Linked DNA regions of Macaca mulatta. The protein of the gene in region 1 interacts with the protein of each later gene in a biochemical or structural test. Links are inferred from orthologs where the notes say so. Each region holds a gene or a part of one and is shown on either strand. Other genes may lie near its edges.

Region 1 (4,935 bases):
GTTTGTAATATTCTCTTGTTCAAAATATTGGCTGGGCGCGGCGGATCACTTGAGGTCAGGAGTTCGAGACTACCTTGGTGAAACTCCATCTCTACTAAAAATAAAAAAGTAGCCTGCATGGTGGTGCACGCATATAATCCCAGCTACTTGGGAGGTTGAGGCAGCCGAGAAGCAGAGGTTGCAGTGAGCTGAGATCACTCCACTGCACTCCAGCCTGGGCAACAGAGTGAGACTCCTTCTCACAAAAAAAAAAAAAAAAAAAAAAACCCAAACAGGCTGGGCGCGGTGGCTCACGCTTGTAATCCTAGCACTTTGGGAGGCTGAGGCGGGCACATCACCTGAGGTTGGGAGTTTGAGACCAGCCTGACCAACATGGAGAAACCCCGTCTCTACTAAAAATACCAAATTAGCTGGGCGTGGTGGCGCATGCCTGTAATCCCAGCTACTTGGGAGGCTGAGGCAGGAGAATCACTTGAACCCGGGAGGCAGAGGTTGCAGTGAGCTGAGACCGCACCATTGCGCTCCAGCCTGCGCAACAAGAGCGAAAGTCCGTCTCAAAAAGAAAAAAAAAATTAATGGGGCTGAGTGCAGTGGCTCACACCTGTGACTCCAGCACTTTGGGAGGCCTAGGTGGGAAGTTCACTAGAGCCTGGAGTTTGAGACCAGCATCGACAACATAGAGGGACCTCATCTTTACAAAACATTAAAAAATTAGCCAGGCATGGTGGCACACACCTGTGGTCCCAGGTACTTGGGAGGATGAGGCAGGAGGATCACTTGAATCCAGGAGGTAGAAGCTGCAGTGAACCATGTTCATGCTACTGCACTCCAGCCTGGGTGACAGAGTGAGACCCTGTCTCTTTTTAAAAAATTATATACACACGTACACATATGCACACATATAATAGATATTACAGTGAAGTACTTTTCAACTGTTCACAACAGAGGATGGGGAGGCACGTGAGAGGGATGAAATCCGGCATGACAGGCGAAAAGAGAGACAGCATGACCGGAATCTTTCCAGGGCAGCTCCTGATAAGAGGTAGGTGTTATTTAAGATACGTACCAATCATGGAGGCTGGGCGCGGTGGCTCACCCCTGTAATCCCAGCACTTTGGGAGGCCAATGTGGGCAGGAGATCGAGACCATCCTGGCTAACATGGTGAAACCCCATGTCTACTAAAAGTACAAAAAATTAGCCGGGCGTGGTCATGGTGGGCGTCTAGTCCCAGCTGCTCGGGAGACTGAGGCAGAAGAATGGTGTGAACCTGGGAGGCGGAGCTTGCAGTGAGCTGAGATGGCGCCACTGCACTCCAGCCTGGGCAGAGTGAGACTCCGTCTCACACAAAAAAAGATAGGTACCAATCATGAAGAGTGGCCTTTTTGTACCTTTTAGAGCAGAGTTTTTAGTCCACTAAGATCAGTTTTGCTTCTCTCCCTTTCTTCTTCAGTTTGATAACTTAATACATTAGCACTTAATTTTCTTATACTTAACTTTGTCTTAGCTCTAGTTGACTGTCTTTGGAATTAATCTTTTCTTCCATCACTTAAGTCAGAATTGAGAATGATGGGAATATGGAAAACAGAATTGAGATCAGATTTTTGAAAAGGATGTAGTAGTAAATTTGGACTGTTATAGTCGGTTCTTTTCCTACCTTAAATGGTGAGACAAATGGATTATGTGCCTCTTTAGACAGGAAATAAGCTGTCATGCTTTTACTGAGATCATTTTATATGCATAGTACTTTATATGCATCTAGTGCAATTGAGAAGAGCAGTTTTGAAAGAAGTGAAAATCAGCTCATTCTTAACAGAAGTTTAACTTACAGTTCAGAAAGACAGAGCTATCCATAAAATAATTTGAGAAAATTTGCAAAGCACTTTTAGTAAATATAAATGTATGGAACAAACTAAATACATATACAAGGGCATAAAGTATGGATTGGGGAAGTTTATGGCTCACCAAAGGCTGAGGACTTAAAGTTCTGAAAAGTAGAGGAAATGCTGCAATACAAAGGTAGAATTCTGAGTGAGGGTTAAATGCAAATATAAAATATTTTCTTCCCAAAGGAACAGTTTTCTATGCTCTGATCATCCCATGAGCCTAATACATTTTTCAAGTCATATTTTAAACACAAAAAAGAGGCTGGGCACGGTGGCTCACACCTATAATCCCAGCACTTTGGCAAGCCAAGGCGGGCGAATCACTTGAGGTCAGGAGTTCATCCAGCCTGGCCAACATGGTGAAACCCCCATCTCTACTAAAAATACAAAAATTAGCTGGGTGTGGTGGCATGTGCCTGTAGTCCCAGCTACTCGAGAGGCTGAAGTGGGAGAATCATTTGAACCCTGGAGGCAGAGGATTCAGTGAGCCAAGATCGTGCCACTATACTCCAGCCTGGGTGAGAGCGAGACTGTATCTCAAAAATAAAAATAAATAGGCATTAAAAAGATTCCTGCTGGTGTTAATTGGCATATTTCATCTCCCTGGATAAATGACGTCATAGAGAAGCAGAGACTCTTACTCTTGAGTTGAGGGTAACGTACATGTAGAAGGAGGAGCAAAGTGTGAAAGTGTTTAATTAATGACAGTCTTGGTTAGTAATTCCTAAGTTGTAAAAGTTACAATGGCTCTGTGGATAAATTGGGCCCTCAAAACCAGTAAAGTGGCCATCAGAATTGACAACATAGAAAAGCTGTAAAATTGTAACTGGATGAAAATCAAATAGCCTGTAGAAATCATTTTGTGACCTGAGTTTTTAGTAAAATAAGTAATGACAGTTACCATGGTTTCATTGGGATATAGATTGCATGTATAATGAAACAGCCAGGAAACCAAATTAATTTGAATGTCAAAAATCATACTAACTATTTCAGTCATTGACATGTTTTCCTCAAAATTCTAGTGGGATAAAATTATTAAATGTAGTTAGATAAAAGAGCTGTTTCTAGCTTATTTAAAATGATTCCTGTGCTACATCTAAATTGTATCCACTTCCCCAACCCCCAAACCATCATATGATAGTAAATATAGACCATAGCAATTTTATATCTCAGTATGGTTGTAAGGTGATTGCTTATATTAAAGAATTCCATGTCAACGAATCTGTTAGATGTTCTTTTGAGCTAACAGGATGTCCTAATTGTAAAACTCTTCCCTCTAATCTGAAATGCTTTATAAGGGCTGCCAACTTGATTATGTATTATCAAGGAATATACGTTCTCAAGATGTGAATGTGACATATTCATGTCCTTTGCTTCTGAGATTGGTTGTATTTCTATTGAACATACTCAGTTTGTCTATAAAGAGTTTTCAGTTAGTGATGTCGTATTTCAAAATAGGTCGAAACTTCAGAGAAATGAAAATCGGGATATCAGTGAAGTCATTGCTCTCGGTGTTCCTAATCCTCGGACTTCCAATGAAGTTCAGTATGACCAAAGGCTCTTCAACCAATCCAAGGTACAAGTTTAGGAAAGCATATTGTTGTGTTGATGTGAATACCTATCCTCAGGGAAACGAAAATTACCATACTTCATATTTGGATGTAAATGCCAGCATGATGACAAAAAAATTGGAAGTTGTATGTTGAAACTTGAGACAAGAAAGATGAAACAGTTCTGATTTTAACTTCTTACAGTGGACTGAAATTTGAGACACTAGGAGAAGAAAGAAATTAGCTGATTAAAAACTTGGTGCTGTACTCGGGAGGCTGAGGCAGGAGAATGGCGTGAACCCGGGGGGCGGAGCTTGCAGTGAGCCGAGATTGAGCCACTGCACTCCAGCCTGGGCGACAGAGCGAGACTCTCTGTCTCAAAAAAAAAAAAAAAAAAAAAAAAAACAACTTGGTGCTGTGGTATGTCAATCTTTTGTTTTTAAAATAGAACCAGGGAGGACAGGCACGGTGGCTTTTGCCTATAATCCCAACACATTTGGAGGCCGGCAGATCACCTGAGGTCAGGAGTTTGAGACCAGCCTGGCCAATGTGGTGAAACCCCAGCTCTACTAAAAATACGAAAATTAGCCAGGTGTGGTGGTGCATGCCTGTAATCCTCACTACTTGGGAGGCTGAGGCACGAGAATTGCTTCAGCTTGTGGTGAGCCAAGATTGTGCCACTGTACTCTAGCCTGGGTGACTGAGACTCTATCTCAAAAAAATAAAATAGAGCCAGTGTCCTACAAAAGTTCCTCTTGGGTTTTTTGTTGTTCATTTTTGGGTTTTTTTTTTTTTTTTAATGCTATAGAAATATGTCAATTTGGGAATCTTTTAAAAATGAAGCTGTAAAACTGGATTAAAGTACTAGGCTGGCTGTCAGGAAATCTGATTTCTAGTACCAATTGCCATTAGCTAACTAGGACACTTTAAGCCTGGGAAAACACAAGGCGGGTGCGTGCACACACACACACACACACACACACACACACGGTAAGAATACAAAGGTGTAAGTTCTACTGGAAAGTGGAGTGGGAAACTTTATGACTTGGAGGTTTTAAGTAAGCTCTTCTAAGTGATAATTTATTAGGTGCATTTTATATTCTTGGCATTGTTCTAAATCTTGTTATTATCTCAATTCTTACAAAAATCCTTTGAAATAATACTATTCTCTCATGTTATAGATGAGGAAATTGAAACACAGGTTTACCTTGTGACTGATGGAATTAAGATTCAAGTCTTGATCTCAAAGCTTTATTATTACTATTTTTTTTTGAGATGGAGTCTCACTGTCACCCAGGCTGGAGTACTGTGGCGCCATCTTGGTTCACTGCAACCTCCACCTCCCAGGTTCAAGGGATTCTCCTGCCTCAGCCTCCTGAGTTGCTGGGATTATCACAGGCACATGCCACCACGCCCGGCTATCTTTAGTAGAGACAGGGTTTCATCATGTTGGGTCAGGCTGGTCTCAAACTCCTGATCTTGTGATCCTCCCGCCTTGGCC
Region 2 (6,042 bases), on another chromosome or scaffold:
GTGATGACAAGGAGACAAACCCCAAGGCAGCGGAGAGAGGGAGTATGGAGCTGCCCTGGGGTCACCTGCTGGGGGTCACCTGCTGGTAGGTCCTGGCTCCCTCTCCAGACACCTGCCCTGCCGCAGGTCGGGCCAAGACCTGCACAGGGGCGCTGGGCCGGCTCCCCCAGGGTAGGAACTGCGCCCAGGCGTGCTGGTTTGAGGCTGGTTCCAGCCTCCACTGGGGAAGTGAGGGGCAGGAGGTCCCAGCTAAAGGTCACTCACATTGCAGTACCCAGGCCAGCTTGGGCACCCCTGGCCCGTCGGGAATGTCTCTCCACCTCAGGTGAGCACAGTCCGAGCCCTCAGCCCCGCGACCATTGCGTCCCCGCGCCCGCACGCCTCGCTGGACGCTGCCTCCCCTGGAGACCACCTGGCCGACTGTCCAACTTCGGGGCCCCGGGCTTCCCGCTTCCCGCCCTGCCATGGCTTGGGTCTCTCCCACTGCGTGGCCAGGCGTGGAGGGCCGACCTGGCCCCGAAAGCCGTCTCAGCGCTCCGAGGCCCTGGGGCGGAGGGCAAGGGTCTCGCCGGCCTGCCCGCCGGGACCCGCGGGACCGAAATTCTGATAAGCCACCTGGCCGGGGTGGCTGGCAAACCGGCCGCGTCGGGGGCACCCGACGCCGCCCCTCTCAGGCCCGAAACCCCTGGCCCGCGCATCAGGGACAGTCCGCCCGGGGCCGTCGGGCGGGGCGGGGCTGGCGCGGGCGGGAGCCGCGGACACTCGGCCACCGGGCCACGGGGCAGCGGGGGCCGCTGGGCTGCGCCGCCAGGGTCACGCGGCGCGGCGCCTGTCTCGGCGCGGGGTCCCTGGGCGTGGCCGCTGTCCCCCTCGTGTGTGGTGACCCCCAGGTCACCGTGTGGCGTCCCGGTAGTGTGTGGGACCCCAGAGGCGTCCGGGGCCTCCCCGCTGTGTGGCGTCCCACCCTGGGAGAACCCCGGCTGCGTGGCGTGGCCCCCCGGCCTCCCCCAGCTGGTTTGCGGTCGTGGCGGGGGCCTGTGGGTTTCTGGGCCCCGGCGGCGGCGAGACGGGCGCCTTCCCAGCCGCGCAGGAAGCGGCCTCGGCCGGAAGGGGGGCCCCGGGCGCCACCGCCGCCTCCGCCTCCGCCCGCGCCGAGCGGCCTTCGACGGGCGGGGCCGAGCGGGGCCGAGCGGAGTCGAGCATGGCCGAGCGGAGCCGAGTCCTGGCCGAGAGTAGCCGAGTCGTGGCAGGGCGGGTCCGAGCGTGGCCGAGTCCCGGGCGAGCGGAGCCGAGCGCGGCCGAGTCCGGGCGGGGAGCGCGCGTTCCTGGAAGAGCCCGACTGGGGAGCGGGTCACATTCTTGGCCAGCGCTCGGGCTGAGGCGGACGCACGGCAACAAACAGCGCGGGGGGCGGGGCCGGCGCGGGGCGGAGCAGGCGGCGCGGGGCGGGGCGGCGCGGCGGCGGCGTGAGCTCAGCGCCGGGCGCTCAGTCCGAGCCGGAGCGAGCCGCCGGGAGGATGTGCGCCGAGCGCCCCGAGCCCCGCGCCGCCGCCGCGCTCTGAGGGCCGCGGGCGAGAGGCGCCTCCGCCGCCCCGGAAGCCGGGCGGGCGGGCCGCGGAGCCGGCGGGCGGGCGGGCCGGGGGCCGGCGGCGGGCGCGACGCGGCCGGCCAGCGCCGCCGGGACGAGCCGGGCGGGCGCCGCGCGGTGGGAGGAGCGGGGCGGCGGCGGCGCGCCGCGCGAGGACGGCCCGGCGGGCCCCGCGCCCGCGCCCCCGCTCCTCCCGGGCCCCTCGGCCTCGGCCGCCGCGGCGATTCGCGCCTCGCGGCGCCGGCACCTGCCCGCGCGCCCCCCGCGAGCCCCGGGCCCGCGAGCGTTGGCGTTGGCGTTGGCGGCGCGCGCCGGGGCATGCCCCGCGCCTAGAGCCCGGGGGGCGCGCGGGGGACGCGCGGGGGGCCCGGGCGGCGGCGGGCGCGGCGCGGGGCGCGTGGATGTGGCGCCGGGCCCGGGCGGCGGCGGGCTCCAGCGGCGGGACCCCTTCGCCCCGCCCGCCTTCCCCTTCGCGCCCCCGGGCGAGGCCGCGGCCGTGATCGGCCGTGAGCCGGCGGCGGGGGGCGGCCGGGGTCGGGGCCGCGGGCGCCGCCGGGGCGCGCGGGGCGGCGGCGGGGGCCGGGGGGGCCCGGGCGCGCGGGAGCGGGAGCGGCCGGGGGAGACGGAGCGCACCATGGAGGCGGCGGCAGGCGGCCGCGGCTGCTTCCAGCCGCACCCGGGGCTGCAGAAGACGCTGGAGCAGTTCCACCTGAGCTCTATGAGCTCGCTGGGCGGCCCGGCCGCCTTCTCGGCGCGCTGGGCGCAGGAGGCCTACAAGAAGGAGAGCGCCAAGGAGGCGGGCGCGGCCGCGGTGCCGGCGCCGGTGCCCGCAGCCACCGAGCCGCCGCCCGTGCTGCACCTGCCCGCCATCCAGCCGCCGCCGCCCGTGCTGCCCGGTCCCTTCTTCATGCCGTCCGATCGCTCCACTGAGCGCTGCGAGACCGTGCTAGAAGGCGAGACCATCTCGTGCTTCGTGGTGGGAGGCGAGAAGCGTCTGTGTCTGCCGCAGATCCTCAACTCGGTGCTGCGCGACTTCTCGCTGCAGCAGATCAACTCGGTGTGCGACGAGCTCCACATCTACTGCTCGCGCTGCACGGCCGACCAGCTGGAGATCCTCAAAGTCATGGGCATCCTGCCCTTCTCGGCGCCCTCGTGCGGGCTCATCACCAAGACGGACGCCGAGCGCCTGTGCAACGCGCTGCTCTACGGCGGCGCCTACCCGCCGCCCTGCAAGAAGGAGCTGGCCGCCAGCCTGGCGCTGGGCCTGGAGCTCAGCGAGCGCAGCGTCCGCGTGTACCACGAGTGCTTCGGCAAGTGTAAGGGGCTGCTGGTGCCGGAGCTCTACAGCAGCCCGAGCGCCGCCTGCATCCAGTGCCTGGACTGCCGCCTCATGTACCCGCCGCACAAGTTCGTGGTGCACTCGCACAAGGCCCTGGAGAACCGGACCTGCCACTGGGGCTTCGACTCGGCCAACTGGCGGGCCTACATCCTGCTGAGCCAGGACTACACGGGCAAGGAGGAGCAGGCGCGCCTCGGTCGCTGCCTGGACGACGTGAAGGAGAAGTTCGACTACGGCAACAAGTACAAGCGGCGGGTGCCCCGGGTGAGTGGCCCCAGGCCTGGGAGCAGGGGTGGATGTGCTTGCGGTGGGGGACCCTTCTGGGCCACAGGCTCTGGTCTCCAAAGGCTGGGACCTGTGTTTCTGCCGTGCCCCATGTGTCAAGTCTTTGCTTTGTTTTAGGGAAATTCAGAGTGTTCCCCTTGGCAGGGCCAGAGGGTTTAGTAGGAAGGCCCTCCTGCCCTTTCCCCCAGGAGGAGCCTGGAGTGGGGGCTGTGTCGGTGGGGTGGGGGCTAGGCCTGGTGTGTGGGGAAGGCCCACAGGCCCATAGCCTTTGCCCAGATAGGATAGGAAGGCACAGGCCTCCTATGCTCCCGGGAAAGCGGCCTGCTCCGAGGTCAGGGAAGTTAGCTCCAGTTGGGCCCCAGCCGGATGCCTCAGGCCCAGGTCTTCCTTGGGGTTGGGGTGGAGGTGACTGCCCTCACCCCGAAGGCACCCAGCCTCGAAGACGGAGGGCTGCCTGCCCTTGGGCCCCAGGAGACAGAGCTTGGGCGAGACGAGGCCTGGTTTTGTTACTGGCTCCCGGTCCATGTTTGTTGCCTTGAAGTTTTGGGACAGAGACACAAAATGAAGCCAGGTGTTCAGGCTGCAGCGACAGGGGCCTGAGACTGGGCGGCTCCAGCACTGTGCTGGTTGGTCTCCCTGGGCCTGCCAGGGACCAAATCCCAGAGTGCCCCGTGTGGGGTGAGGGCCACTTGGCACCCGGCTGAGGGCCTGGTCAGCAGGCCCCTGGGCCCACATGCTGGAGTTACTGGCGGCTTGGGATTTGGACTCACCCATTTCCTTCTCTCCTTCTGAAACGCAGAGGGGTGCGCCGGGGAGGGAGGCCGCTGGCCTGGCTTTGTAGTTTGCCAGTTGGAGGATCTACGGGATCCGGCATGGGCAGCTCCCAGGCCACGAGGCGCCGAAATTACTCAGTGGGGTCCTCAGGAACTTTCCGTTGCATACCTCCCCAAGTATGTGTAACTTTTCTTTTAAATATCCAGGCTTATTAAATTGCACACACAGAATGCTGCATTGGCTCAGCTATTCTTGGGAGGCCTAATTAATTCAGCTATTGCATCAAACTTTTTTTTTCTGAATCTGTGAATAGATGCTCCAGCCCGGTTTTCTCTGGGCGCCCCTCCAGCAGAGTGTCAGATCGTGGGGAGGAGGGGCTGTGGATGGAAGCGAGGGACTGTCGCCTCTGCGTGGAGGGGGCTGCGGAGGGTGCATGTGCGTGTGCCTGTGTGTGTGCGTGTGTGTGTGCAGGGGTGCTTCTGACCCTGCCAGGCCAGGGCTCAGGTGGCAGCTGCCTGCAGACCTGTGGGCTGGGGACGGATGCTCGTGGCAGAGCTGCAGACAGACCTCACAGGCTGGGACCCTTCATGTCACATGGGGAGTTGGCTGGGGTGGGTCCGATGGCGCTCCCTGTGGGCTGGGGTCTTTCTTTTTGGGGTGGCCGCACCCTCGTCAGTGCCTATGGCTGGGGGAAGCCACGTGTCGCTGGGGTGGTTGGTGGGCTCGGGCAGGCTGCATAGTGGGTCACCTGTGGCCAAGGCCTGAGCTGCTGGGACACACTCATCACTGTCTCCAGAGCTGACGGCAGAGGATCTCGGCTGAGCAGGGTGTGTCTGCGTTTGTTTTTGTCCGACTGTGGGTCATGTATGTGCTTGCAGTCTTTCTGTCTTCCTGGGTTTTGTTGGGGGGCCATTGGAGTGGCCAGCAGGGCCTCTTCGTCACAGCTGACACAGAGCAGGGCCCAGGCCACCGGCTTCTCCCTCCCGGCGGTTGTGAGCGCCGGGGTCCTTGGGCCGCCATGGAGACGGGCCAGACAAGCTTTCCCCCTGGTCATCTCAGCGGATGGCTCCAAGTTGCCTTTCCCTTTTGAAGTCCTCCCTAGCACAGCTCTGAAATCTCATCTATTGATTAAAAAGGAATTCCCAAGCCATACTGACGACGTTTACGGTGTGAGTGACTGGGTCCTCCAGGCCTGAGTGGCAGCCACAGCCTGGCCCTGGCAGTGGTGGCCTCCGCCTGGCTCCCTGCATGTTCACCAGCTCCTGCGGGCTTTCCTCTCCTCATGCTCCTGGGGGTGGGCACCCATCCTGCCCGTGTCGTCTCCTGCTCTGTGTTCTTGACGTGGGGTGGCAGCCAGGGACTCTGCCCTCGCTCAGTGCGTGCCCCCAGGCTCTGTGACTGTGTGGTTGGGAGTTCTGGGCTGCAGGATCCCCTTAAGTCTCCCTAGGACAGCCATGTGCGTGTCTCTGTGCACGGGGGCAACACATGAGAAGGGAGTGTGGTCTCAGGGTGGGCGTGGACCCGCAGTGCCCAGACCCCACTTCTCCTAGAAGGAGTGGCCTGGGAGGCCCCGCCTCCACCCTCGCTGGCTGCCGTTGGCTCCTCCCACCCATGTCTTGACAGCTTATTCTCAGGATATGTTTTGATTTCTTCACTTCCTTTGTAGCTTATTTTAATATTTTTGATCTGCCGAAGATGAGGGCTGAAGGAACAAAGAGTGTACTGGAACCCTCTTTGCAGGGCTGCTGCTCCCAGCAGGCCTTCGGGCTCTGTGGAGCGGGAGGGAGCTGAACTGCCTTCCGGGTGTTTGTGGCCAGGCCAGGGCCGGGTCTCCTGCCTGAGTGGGCTGGGTCAGCGTCACTCTGCTACCCGTGATGGGAGGTGGGAGAGGGCGGTGGTGTTCCCGTGTCCCAAACCAAGTGGGAGGCGGGGCTGCAGCTTTCGCTTTGGAAGCCTCGTGTGAAGGCGGCTGTGCCGGAGTCCCTGGCCTGTCGGCAGTGCAGTGACAGTGTGAGGGGCAGACAGTCTTCCTCCAGATGCCCCCTCATATCACGGG
Region 3 (5,175 bases), on another chromosome or scaffold:
ATGGGGACTTATATTAGCATAGGGGTGGGACCCAGCCCTGCCAGGATCACAAGGAGGAAGAGGAGGGAAGACTCAGGGGACCTTGGAATCCAGATCAGTGTGGACCTCTGCCCTGAGAGGTCCAGGGCACGGTGGCCACATATGGCCCTTATTTCCTGCATCTTTTGAGGTGACAGGACACAGCTGTGGTCTGAGAAGTGGGGCCTCAGGTCAACAGAGGAAGGAGTTCCAGGATCCATACAACCCAAGATGTGCCCCCTTCACAAGGACTGGGGATATCCCTGGCTCCACAGAGTATGGCTGTTTCTTTTTTGTAGCTCTAGGGGGACCAGATCAGGGATGGCCGTATGTTCTAGTCTCACTTGTACCACAGGCAGGAAGTTGGGGAGCCCGCAAGGAGATGGGGTCTTGGGGTAAAGGGGGGATGTCTACCCATCTCAGGGAATTGGGGGTTGAGGAAGCACAGGCTTTGGCAGGAATAAAGATGAGTGAGCCAGACAAGGCTATTGGAATCCTCACCCCAGAACCAAAGGGGTCAGCCCTGGACACTTCACCCAGGGTGTGGCATCTTCTTACTCCTGTTTCCAGATCTCAGAGAGGTGAGGACCTTGTTCTCAGAGGGTGACTCGGGTCAACATAGGGACCCCCATCTGGTCTAAAGACAGAGCAGTCCTACGATCTGCCATGCATTTGGGTGAGGAACATGAGGGAGGATTGAGGATACCCCAGGGCCAGAACACTGACAGAGACCGCACAGAAATCAGCTCTGCCCCTGCTGTCACCCCAGAGAGCATGGGCTGGGTCATCTGCCAAGGTCCCTCTCTTATCTTGGGATCATTGATGTCAGGGAGGGGGAGGCCTTGATCTGAGAAGGCTTCACTCACGTCAGTAGAGGGAGAGTCCCAGGCCCTGCCAGGAGTCAAGGTGAGGACCAAACAGGCGCCTCACCCAGGACACATTAATTCCAATGAATTTTGATATCTCTTGCTGTCCTTCCCCGAGGACCTAGGCCCGAGTGGCCAGATGTGGGTCCCCTCCTGTCTTTCTGTTCCTTATCATGGATGTGAGCTCTTTATTTGGATTTCTCAGACCAGCAAAAGGGTGGGATCCAGGTCCTGCCAGGAAAAATGCAAGGGCCCTGCGTGAGAACAGAGGGGATCATCCACCGCATGAGAGTGGGGATGTCACAGAGTCCAGCCCACCCTCCTAATAGCACTGAGGGCCCAGGGCTGTGCTTGCAGTCTGCACCCTGAGGGCCCGTGGATTCCTCTTCCAGGAGCTCCAAGAACCAGGCAGTGAGGCCTTGGTTTGAGACAGTGTCCTCAGATCACAGAGCAGAGGACGCACAGGCTGTGCCAGCAGTCAACGTTTGCCCTGAATGCACACCAAGGGCCCCGCCTGCCGCAGGACACATGGAACTCCACAGAGTCTGGCCTCACCTCCCTACCGTCAGTCCTGTAGAATCGACCTCTGCTGGCCGGCTGTACCCTGAGTGCCCTCTCACTTCCTCCTTCAGGTTTTCAGGGGACAGGCCAACCTGGAGGACAGGATTCCCTGGAGGCCACAGAGGAGCACCAAGGAGAAGATCTGTAAGTAGGCCTTTGTTAGAGTCTCCAAGGTTCAGTTCTCAGCTGAGGCCTCTCACACACTCCCTCTCTCTCCAGGCCCGTGGGTCTTCATTGCCCAGCTCCTGTACACTCCTGCCTGCTGCCCTGACCAGAGTCATCATGTCTCTTGAGCAGAGGAGTCTGCACTACAAGCCTGAGGAAGCCCTTGAGGCCCAACAAGAGGCCCTGGGGCTGGTGTGTGTGCAGGCTGCCGCCGCCTCCTCCTCTCCTCTGGTCCTGGGCACCCTGGAGGAGGTGCCTACTGCTGGGTCAACAGATCCCCCCCAGACTCCTCAGGGAGCCTCCGCCTTTCCCACTACCATCAACTTCCCTCGCTGGAGGCAACCCAATGAGAGTTCCAGCAGCCATGAAGAAGAGGGGCCAAGCACCTCGCGTGTCCTGGAGTCCTTGTTCCGAGCAGTACTCACTAAGAAGGTGGCTGATTTGGTTCGTTTTCTGCTCCTCAAGTATCGAGCCAGGGAGCCGGTCACAAAGGCAGAAATGCTGGAGAGAGTCATCAAAAATTACAAGCACTGCTTTCCTGTGATCTTCGGCAAAGCCTCTGAGTCCTTGCAACTGGTCTTTGGCATTGACGTGAAGGAAGCAGACTCCACCGGCCACTCCTATGTCCTTGTCACCTGCCTGGGGCTCTCCTATGACGGCCTGCTGGGTGATAATCAGATCATGCCCAAGACAGGCTTCCTGATAATCATCCTGGTTATGATTGCAATGGAGGGCGGCCGTGCTCCTGAGGAGGAAATCTGGGAAGAGCTGAATGTGATGGAGGTATATGATGGGAGGGAGCACAGTGCCTATGGGGAGCCCAGGAAGCTGCTCACCCAAGATTTGGTGCAGGAAAAGTACCTGGAGTACCGGCAGGTGCCCTACAGTGATCCTGCACGCTATGAGTTCCTGTGGGGTCCAAGGGCCCTCACTGAAACCAGCTATGTGAAAGTCCTTGAGTATGTGATCAAGGTCAGTGCAAGAGTTCGCTTTTTCTTCCCATCCCTGCGTGAAGCAGCTTTGAGACAGGAGGGAGCAGCTTTGAGAGAGGATGAAGAGGGAGTCTGAGCATGAGTTGCAGCCAAGGCCAGTGGGAGGGGGGCTGGGCTAGTGCACCTTCAAGGACCGTGTCCAGCAGCTTTCCCTGCCTCGTGTGATGTGAGGCCCATTCTTCACTCTGTTTGAAGAGAGCAGTCAGCATTCTCAGTAGTAGGTTTCTGTTCTATTGGATGACTTGGAGATTTATCTTTGTTCTCTTTTGGAATTGTTCAAGTGTTCCTTTTAAGGAATGGTTGAATGAACTTCAGCATCCAAGTTTATGAATGACAGTAGTCACACATAGTGCCGTGTATATAGTTGAGTAGTAAGAGTCTTGTGTTTCATTCAGATTGGGAAATCCATTCTATTTTGTGAATTGGGATAATAACAGCAGTGGAATAAGTATTTACTTAGAAATGTGAAAAATGAGCAGTAAAATAGATGAGATAAAGAACTAAAGAAATTAAGAGATAGTCAATTCTTTTTTTTTTTTTTTTTTTTTTTTTTTTTTTTTGAGACGGAGTCTCGCTCTGTCGCCCAGGCTGGAGTGCAGTGGCGCGATCTCGGCTCACTGCAAGCTCCGCCTCCCGGGTTCACGCCATTCTCCTGCCTCAGCCTCCTGAGTAGCTGGGACTACAGGCGCCCACAACCGCGCCCGGCTAATTTTTTGTATTTTTAGTAGAGACGGGGTTTCACCGTGGTCTCGATCTCCTGACCTTGTGATCCGCCCGCCTCGGCCCCCCAAAGTGCTGGGATTGCAGGCGTGAGCCACCGCGCCCGGCCGAGATAGTCAATTCTTGCCTTATACCTCAGTCTATTCTGTAACATTTTAAAAGATATATGCATACCTGGATTTCCTTGGCTGCTTTGAGAATGTAGGAGAAATTAAATCTGAATAAAGAATTCTTCCTGTTCACTGGCTCCTTTCTTCTCCATGCACTGAGCAGCTGCTTTTTGGAAGGCCCTGAGTTAGTAGTGGAGATGCTAAGGTAAGCCAGACTCATGCCTACCCATAGGGTTGTAGAGTCTAAGAGCTGCAGTCACGCAATCAAGGTGGCAAGATGTCCTCTGAAGATGTAGAGGAAAAGTAAGAGAGAGTGAGGGTGTGGGGCTCCAGGTGAGAGTGGTAGAGTGTAAATGTCCTGAGCTGGGGCATTTTGGGCTTTGGGAAACTGCAGTTCCTTCTGCGGGAGCTGATTGTAAGGATCCTGGGTGGATCCAGGGCCAGATTCTCAGACGGTGAGAGAAAAGCCTGAGTTGGAAAGCTGCTCTGAGGAGTTTCTTTTGGACGGTGGATAAACAGAGAGGAGTCTCCACCTAGGCAGGATTGGAAAGTGTTCTGCGCTTTTTTTTTTCCCATTGCTTCTGAACACAGCGCAAGAGCTAGGTGATGGACACCCATCGTCCGAAAGCGTTTCCTGAGAGAGAAGCGTGAATCTCCCCGGAATGGAGATCCAAAAGCCACTGGCCAGGCACTTTTCTACCTGGCTGGGAGGACCAGAGCTGACTCTTAAAAAGGCATTCTAATGAGGTTATCTCACGTGCAATTTGGCCAGTTGTAAGCAAGATTTCGTATGTTGACAAAATGAATGAAAATAGTGGTTTGGATGGAAAGGTATGTGGGAGAGAGTAAAGGAGTTGGTTTTTGACTCAAATTCTACGATCTTTGAGCTGTATCCGCCTAGGGGAAGTCGCACACCCAAATTTTGAAGTACATTCTCTAAGAGGCAATACTTACTGAATTTTAGGAATGAAACTTCCCTTTTTGGTTAGTTATTCCATGTCCTATTAAGTTGTATATTCTCTGATAAGTCCTGGAGAACAACAACAAAATCCCAGAGTGGTAGGGTCTGGGCTCAAATAATATTAGAAATAACAGCCACCTGCTATCCATTAAACTTGTAATTTACTCCAGGCCCTGAACCAGCTGCTTCACTTGCATGCACACACTCCAACAGTCCTAGCGGAAGGGTCTAATCACACCTACTACACAGATGTAGAACCAGAGGCACACAGGGCTTGGGTATTTCCCAGGATCACGTGCCTAGTAAGGGACAGGGCTGGAACCCGATCCCTGATCTGAATTCCTGTAGAGCCCATGCTGTTCCCACTCCTCCCAGCCTGTGGCCCACCTCCTGAGTACTACTTCCTTTCTCTTCTCAACACTGTGCCATATGTCTCTGGTGACAAAAAGAAAGACCCCGAGGCCAACGTACTAAAAACAGACCAGGGGAAGGTGACAGTGAGAATCAAACATCATTTGAGGCTGGTGTGCACTGGGTTCCTTGAGAGTTGATTCTGCCAAGGCGTGGGCATTTCTGTCCAGTTCCAGCACTTTCCCGAATTGCAGTGAGTTTCCCCTGGTCACTTCCATGTGTCCTTTCTCACTCTGGAACCTGGCTTGCTGACCAGCTTGTCACTGGTCCCCACAGAACAGCCAGAATCACCTGCTCACCTCCTGATGGCGCATTCCTTTTCCTTGTAGAAGTCCTCTGGATGTCCCATCTCTCACCCAGGAAGCCATGTG
Region 4 (6,062 bases), on another chromosome or scaffold:
CAAATGCAAAACACTTTTCTAGGGCCAAGAGTCAAATCTGAAATTATAGTCATGGTTATTAGAAATTATTAAGAGCAAATAACAAAGCACTAGCAAATATAAGGCATATTTAAAATTAATCACTGCTATTAACAGACTTAGCTTAGAGTCCAGTGAAAGCATGTTGTACTACCATTTGTTAAATATTACTACATGCAGGCCAGGCATGGTGGCTCACCCTGTAATCCCAGCACTTTCGGAGGCCAAGGTGGGCAGATCCCTTGAGGTCAGGAGTTTGAGATCAGCCTAGCCAACATGGCAAAACCCCATATCTACTAAAAACACAAAAATTAGCCAGGTGTGATGGTGCACGCTTGTAATCCCAGCTACTCAGGAGGCTGAGGCAGGAGGATCGCTTGAGCCCAAGAGGTGGAGGTTGCAGTGAGCTAAGATTGCGCCACTGAACTCCAGCCTGATGACAGAATGAGACCCTGTCTCAAAAAATAAAATAAAATAAATAAATAAGATATTGCTACATGCAGAAAACAAAAGAGGAAAGCATCCCATAATTTTATGTTATTACATTTGAGTCTGACAGAACTTCAATCTTTCACACCACACACATACACACACACACACACACACACACACACACGACACATCACCCTGTAATTTGTTTTACTTGTCTCTCTCCCTATAAGTTTACGGGGAGCAGGAATAAAGGTATCTGTTTTATTACCCATACTATAATACATATTTGGGATTTTAAAAAATCCCACTATTGCTACTGTGTCTTGCCAATAATTTAAAAACCTATTTGACTTCCTATAAAATATGACCTACTTCACATTAGCTTATTTCAGTAACAATTCATAGACCTTCCCCACAGTTTTCATCCAAGGATGCTCTCTGCGAACCTTAAGGCATAGCAATCCTGTGCAGATGTGGCAAGTTATTATAATTCCCATTTTACTACACAGTTAGGAAACTGGCCCAGGGGAAGTAGAGTAACTTGGAAATAATCACAAAGCCAGATGCCAAAAATAACAACTTTTAGTCAATCCATGAGAAAATACTGCCCCTAGTTGAAATAACATGAAATTTAGTATTAGGAGGAAGCAAAATGCAAAATAATGTTTTAAAGCCAAGTCCTGGATTTTATTTCTAAAAATGAACAGAAGAATGAGATGTGTAAGAACTTAAAAAACAAAACAATTTTTTCCTAATGCCTTACCCATCAAGGGTGCCAAAGGTTATTTAATGAATTACATCTGGCAAGAATGGCCTTTCAACCAAACCAATTTTGATCTTACCCACTTAAAAAAAAAAATTGACAGAAATCCGTTGGTATAGGACAATAGGTAATTTTTTTAACAAATCTAACTGCTTAAAATCTAAAGCCTACAAGTGTTTTGAACAGTACAGATGTGAAAATACTGCAAGTCTCATTTTCTGAAAATATAATCACAGATCCATCAGCAATATGCATGGATAATAAAACTTAAAGTTTTAATAGTTAATACTCAGAATGAAAGTTCTCCAGCCACAACTCATCCAGATTTCGAAATATGCTGCTGTTATAATTTAATTAAAAGCAGTTTTATTTCACCACAAAGTAAAAGTCTTACACGATTTAGAAAGAAAAACGCAACTCAAATGGTAAAAGCGCTTTTATCATGTCTGTGTAATCATTCTACAGGTACAAGTCAGAGCAAAATACCCTCCATTATTACACAGTATTTACACTTTGCTCCCAGTCAGAAAACCAGTGAGCTTAAGATTTTACCTTCAAAAGAATCATTATGTACAAGAACAAGTAAGGGAGACATAAGATTATTGGTAAAACCCACTCATGCGACCCAGACTGCAGATTTTCACAAAAAAAAACTTAAGTATCAATCATGAAACCATGGTTTTCCATTAATTAAAACTCAAACTACTAATTCTAATCACAGCCAGAAAAAAAAAATACTTTCCAATGCTCCAATACTCGTTAGAGTAGATCTCATATGTCCTCTATAAACAACACTTTACTATTGTAGAACTTCAGTTTGTAAATGAAATGACACTCCAAATGATTTTATGTGTAACATACCTTCTAAAAGTAGAGACCAACTAGTAGAAACAAACTCACTCTTGAAGAATACATTCAGCATAGTAATCCTGGTAAATATAATAACTCTTATTCCTAGCACGAGAATAACTCATTAAAAGACATCACACCACACCCCCCATCCCCATTCACACAACCCCAAGCTTTTAGCATTACCAAAACAGTAAGAACACTTCAAGGGTCCTTTAACACTAGGAAGTGTCTTTAAAATAATCTCACTACAGGCTATTACATATATATAATATACATCTTTACGTATACTTTTTACTGCATTTGATTAATATCTTCCACAAAGATCCTAGAAGCAGTATTCATCAATCAGAAACTGCACTCTTCGGTGCTGTCCTCATTTCAACCCCAGTGATGGGACAGAAGGGTTGTCACGCATCCACAGAGCAGCAAAAACGCACATAACTGTAAACCATCTAATGATTAAGAAAAAGTAAAACATTTATATAAAATTCCCAACCGGAATGCCTCTCCTTTTCCTTATGAGGCAGGAGTTTCTGATAAATTCTAAATCCAGATTTCTAGAAAATGCTGAAATTCTCCGCCCCAACACTCACAAGTTTTCAACATGGAAATTCACTCAACTCCTACTCACATGCCAAATGAATATCCATTGTGGATATCTGAAACTATTCTCAAACACTAACAGAAAAACACATATATACATCTTGAGCCTCCTTCTAACCGTCCTACGATACCCTCCAATCATCCTCAGGCAACCTAAATGCAAAGCTTCGACAGACAGCTGCCCTTGGCCTAGGCCGTCAGGAACCAGGAGGGGGGCGGGGGCCGGGGGCCGGGGGACGCAAGAACCACCAAGAGACCAGACCTTTTTCCAGGGCTACTGTTTCCAAGCAAAACAACCCACCGCACTAAAGAGACGGCGATGAAAATTGGAGACGCTTTAATCCCGAAAGAAAGGGGTGGCGATGGGGGGGCGGGGGGTGCAAGAAATCCCGAGAAAAAGGGGTGCGGAGGAGGAAACTAAGTATCCCATGCATCTTTCAGACTCACAAAACAACAACAAACCGTAGAGTCTGTGTGCACTTAGAAGCAGCAGATGGAGTCTCCGGGGCTGAGACAGTTCAGCAGACGTACACCGGGGGTAGTGGATAAATCAACCGATGACGGGAGAGGAAGGGGGTGCCGAGAGAATAAGCCCATGGATGGGGGAGACAACGCCTCGGGGGGGGGGGATCCAGGACCGCAGAGAAAGGTGAGAGAGGACCCACAGGAGAAAGACAATGGAAGAACAATTAAGACAGGAATCTGGTGCCCGGGCTGTGGCAGGTCACTGGGCTACCGACAAGAGTGGGGCACAACAAAGGGGCACGGGAGGAAGGACAGCGGAGGGGAGGAGATGGAAAGAGGATGCGGGGCGCCACGGGTCGGACAAAGCGCCCAAGGCGGCGAAACAAAGGGCCGGGGGTAGAGAGTCGCGGGGGGCAGCGGGGAAAGACAAAGCGCCCGGGGCCGGGGGCACTAGCGGGGCGAGGCGGCGACAACGGCCGCGAGGAACAAAGCTGCACGGGGCCCCCAGGCAGGGCCCGCTGGAGGCGCGCGGGAGGCACGGCGCCCGAGGGCCCCGCGCGCCCGGCCGCACTCACGCCCGCACCCGCCGGCCTCGCCGCCGCCTCCCGCCCTCACGCGCCGGAGCCCGAGCCACGGCAGCGCAGAGGCAGCGCACGGTCACACGCCGCAGCCGCCGCCGCGCTCGGCGCACGCGACGCCGCCCCCGCGGGCCCCCGGACGCCAAGCGCGCTGCGGCCCCCGAATCCGCCGCTCGCCGCGGGCTGCCAGACGCCCGCAACTTTCCCGGTTCCCAGCGCTCCGATTCCCTCGGACTTACCCTGTCACAACAGGCGCCATCTTCCACAAACTCTCGCCAAAACTCCAACCCTCGCGAGATTCCCCCCGACGCCTTCCCTGGTCCCTCTCCCCCGCCCCTTCCCTTTTTCCTCACTCCTCGATTCCACCCAGCCCCCGCGCTCCCTTTCCCCTCGCCGCCGCCGCGAAGAGCCAGACGCCTCGCGCCGCCCGCAGAGTAGGGGATCCTGCTCGCTGCCTCCCTTGGAAACCTACCCAAGCGATGGAGCATGCGCAGGCGGCTCCTCCGCGGGCGAGCCCTCCGTGTGGTCCATGGGGAGCGCTCCGGTTATCCAGGTTTTGGGACGCGCCTTGAGGGACGTACGTGGAGACTGAGGAAAACCGGAGGGGATTACTACGGGGACGGGGAATGGAGGGGTCAGGAGGCGGGGCCGAGGAGAAGGGAGGAGGGGTCCTGGGAAAATGGGCCGCGTTTCACAGGCCTAGATGAAACACCTCCTCAATGGGTGTTTTCCAAGCGGCTTCCCGCTCACTCTGGGTTCCCAGCTCCTTTCATTCATTCAGACGTTCCCTGGGCGCCTCCTTTATGCTAATTTCGGCGTTAGGTGCAGGAGCGTCAGAGGTGCCTGGGGTTCGGGCAAGTGACACGTCGGGAACTGTCTTCATTCATTACACCCCCATGCTAATGAGGAGGCCCTTCCAGAGCTCCGCAAACGGAAAACTTTTGCAGTTGAGCTCTCTCGGCTTAGCGTTCTCCTTAGGTGTGAAATGAGGTCAAGTCAAGGCCTCTGGGAAAGACACCCCTAATGGCCACCTCGCAGACACACGCCAGGGTGCGGAGTAGTTCTCTCCAGAAGGGAAAACTGCCTTGGAATTGAGAGCCACATTCTCCCACCTCCGAGTCGGGCCAGAGGCCCTGATCAAAGCTCTTGCAGCTCGCGTGCCACATGGCCTCTCTAAGACCCCATCGCAGCCGCCACCGTGTGTGAGCCCAGGTGTGTGTTGAGGCCACTACTGCACAGGGAACCGGGCCACCCGAGGGCCTGGCACAGCCGAAGACGCTGCCGGCTGCCCGAATCGCGCTTCAGGCGGCCTGATGCCGGAAGCCCCCGGGCGAACCTGGCCCCGCCGGGCATTGAACAGCAAGGTGCAGAGCCCGAACCCCGCCCCCTCCTCCTACCTGCAGCCCCCCATTTTTCCCCTCCTTTGCCCTTTCCTTTCCTAGAGATTCCCAATCCAGCACTGCCTCCCGCAGGGAGCCCCAAAACCCGGAGAACTGGAATTCGCCGCCCGAAACCTGCTGAAGGCGCTGCAGGATTGGCGCGGCCCGCGCGAGCGGCACTGCGCATGCACCCAATGCGGGCAGTCGCGTCTCACGCTACACCTCCTTCCCACCGCCTTCCACTACTCGGCTCAGACACAACACGGCCGTGGGAAATTTCCTAAACCTCGCGAGAACGTGCCCCCTGTTGCCTAGGCTTTCGCTCCAAATCTCGCGAAGCCAAGGGAGGACAGGTGTTTGTTTAGAGCAGGTCCGGGCGCCGTTCGTGCCGCGCGTGCCCGGGAGGCGGGCGGCGGGCGGCGGGCGCGGGCGGGGTGGGAAGGGAGCGGCTCGCCGCGGAGGCGGGGCGGGAAGGCGCGTGGCGGGGAGCACGGGGCAGAGGGCGGCGGGGAAGGAGACGCGACGTCTCGCACACACGCACACGCCCTGTGACGCTGGGTGGAAGACGAGGGGTGGGGAGCCTCGAAGGGAAGAAGGGGAAGCCAGGAGGTTGGAAGTGGCTCCCAGTGCGGAGAGTGAGAGGTCAGGCTCTAGGGCAGGAGGAGCCCCAGGCCGATCTCCCGGGGAGGTTTCCTGTCGCCCTCCACAAGCCTGGTACTTTCCTAAAATGTGTTAGACGCCGCGCCCCCCGCCTCCGGGAGCTGAGAGACAGCCCCCAGAGTCGGGTTTGAGTCATGCCTTGAGTCACCTAGTCTGGCCACCACTTCGCTTATTTTGAAACAAGTTCTGATTCCTTAGCTACTCTACTTTAGCAATTAGTTGTTTTCTTTCTAATCTACCCGCTGGCCCTGTGAGCTGGTTAGAAAAATAAATAAATAAACAGCTCTGCGCTCTTGCATTGTTGCCTTGTAT

The links.
Region 2: the proteins of SNW1 (region 1) and SKI form a complex in vitro, tested with the Homo sapiens proteins (2 studies listed by BioGRID). The link is inferred for Macaca mulatta from reciprocal best matches to the Homo sapiens genes SNW1 and SKI.
Region 3: the proteins of SNW1 (region 1) and melanoma-associated antigen 1 form a complex in vitro, tested with the Homo sapiens proteins (2 studies listed by BioGRID). The link is inferred for Macaca mulatta from reciprocal best matches to the Homo sapiens genes SNW1 and MAGEA1.
Region 4: the proteins of SNW1 (region 1) and RBPJ form a complex in vitro, tested with the Homo sapiens proteins (2 studies listed by BioGRID). The link is inferred for Macaca mulatta from reciprocal best matches to the Homo sapiens genes SNW1 and RBPJ.

The regions. Positions count from the first base shown.
Region 1 is NC_133412.1:150,940,658-150,945,592, reverse strand, and holds part of SNW1 (SNW domain-containing protein 1), read left to right. Parts: intron 1-945; coding exon 946-1,042; intron 1,043-3,342; coding exon 3,343-3,460; intron 3,461-4,935. UniProt on the Homo sapiens protein: Involved in pre-mRNA splicing as component of the spliceosome. As a component of the minor spliceosome, involved in the splicing of U12-type introns in pre-mRNAs.
Region 2 is NC_133406.1:238,449,644-238,455,685, reverse strand, and holds the start of SKI (ski oncogene), read left to right. Parts: upstream 1-1,958; 5' UTR 1,959-2,222; coding exon 2,223-3,191; intron 3,192-6,042. UniProt on the Homo sapiens protein: May play a role in terminal differentiation of skeletal muscle cells but not in the determination of cells to the myogenic lineage. Functions as a repressor of TGF-beta signaling.
Region 3 is NC_133426.1:159,458,459-159,463,633, reverse strand, and holds melanoma-associated antigen 1, read left to right. Parts: upstream 1-1,673; 5' UTR 1,674-1,727; coding exon 1,728-2,678; 3' UTR 2,679-3,391; downstream 3,392-5,175.
Region 4 is NC_133410.1:25,358,995-25,365,056, reverse strand, and holds the start of RBPJ (recombining binding protein suppressor of hairless), read right to left. Parts: upstream 4,085-6,062; 5' UTR 3,971-4,084; coding exon of another isoform or gene 3,951-3,970; intron 1-3,950. UniProt on the Homo sapiens protein: Transcriptional regulator that plays a central role in Notch signaling, a signaling pathway involved in cell-cell communication that regulates a broad spectrum of cell-fate determinations.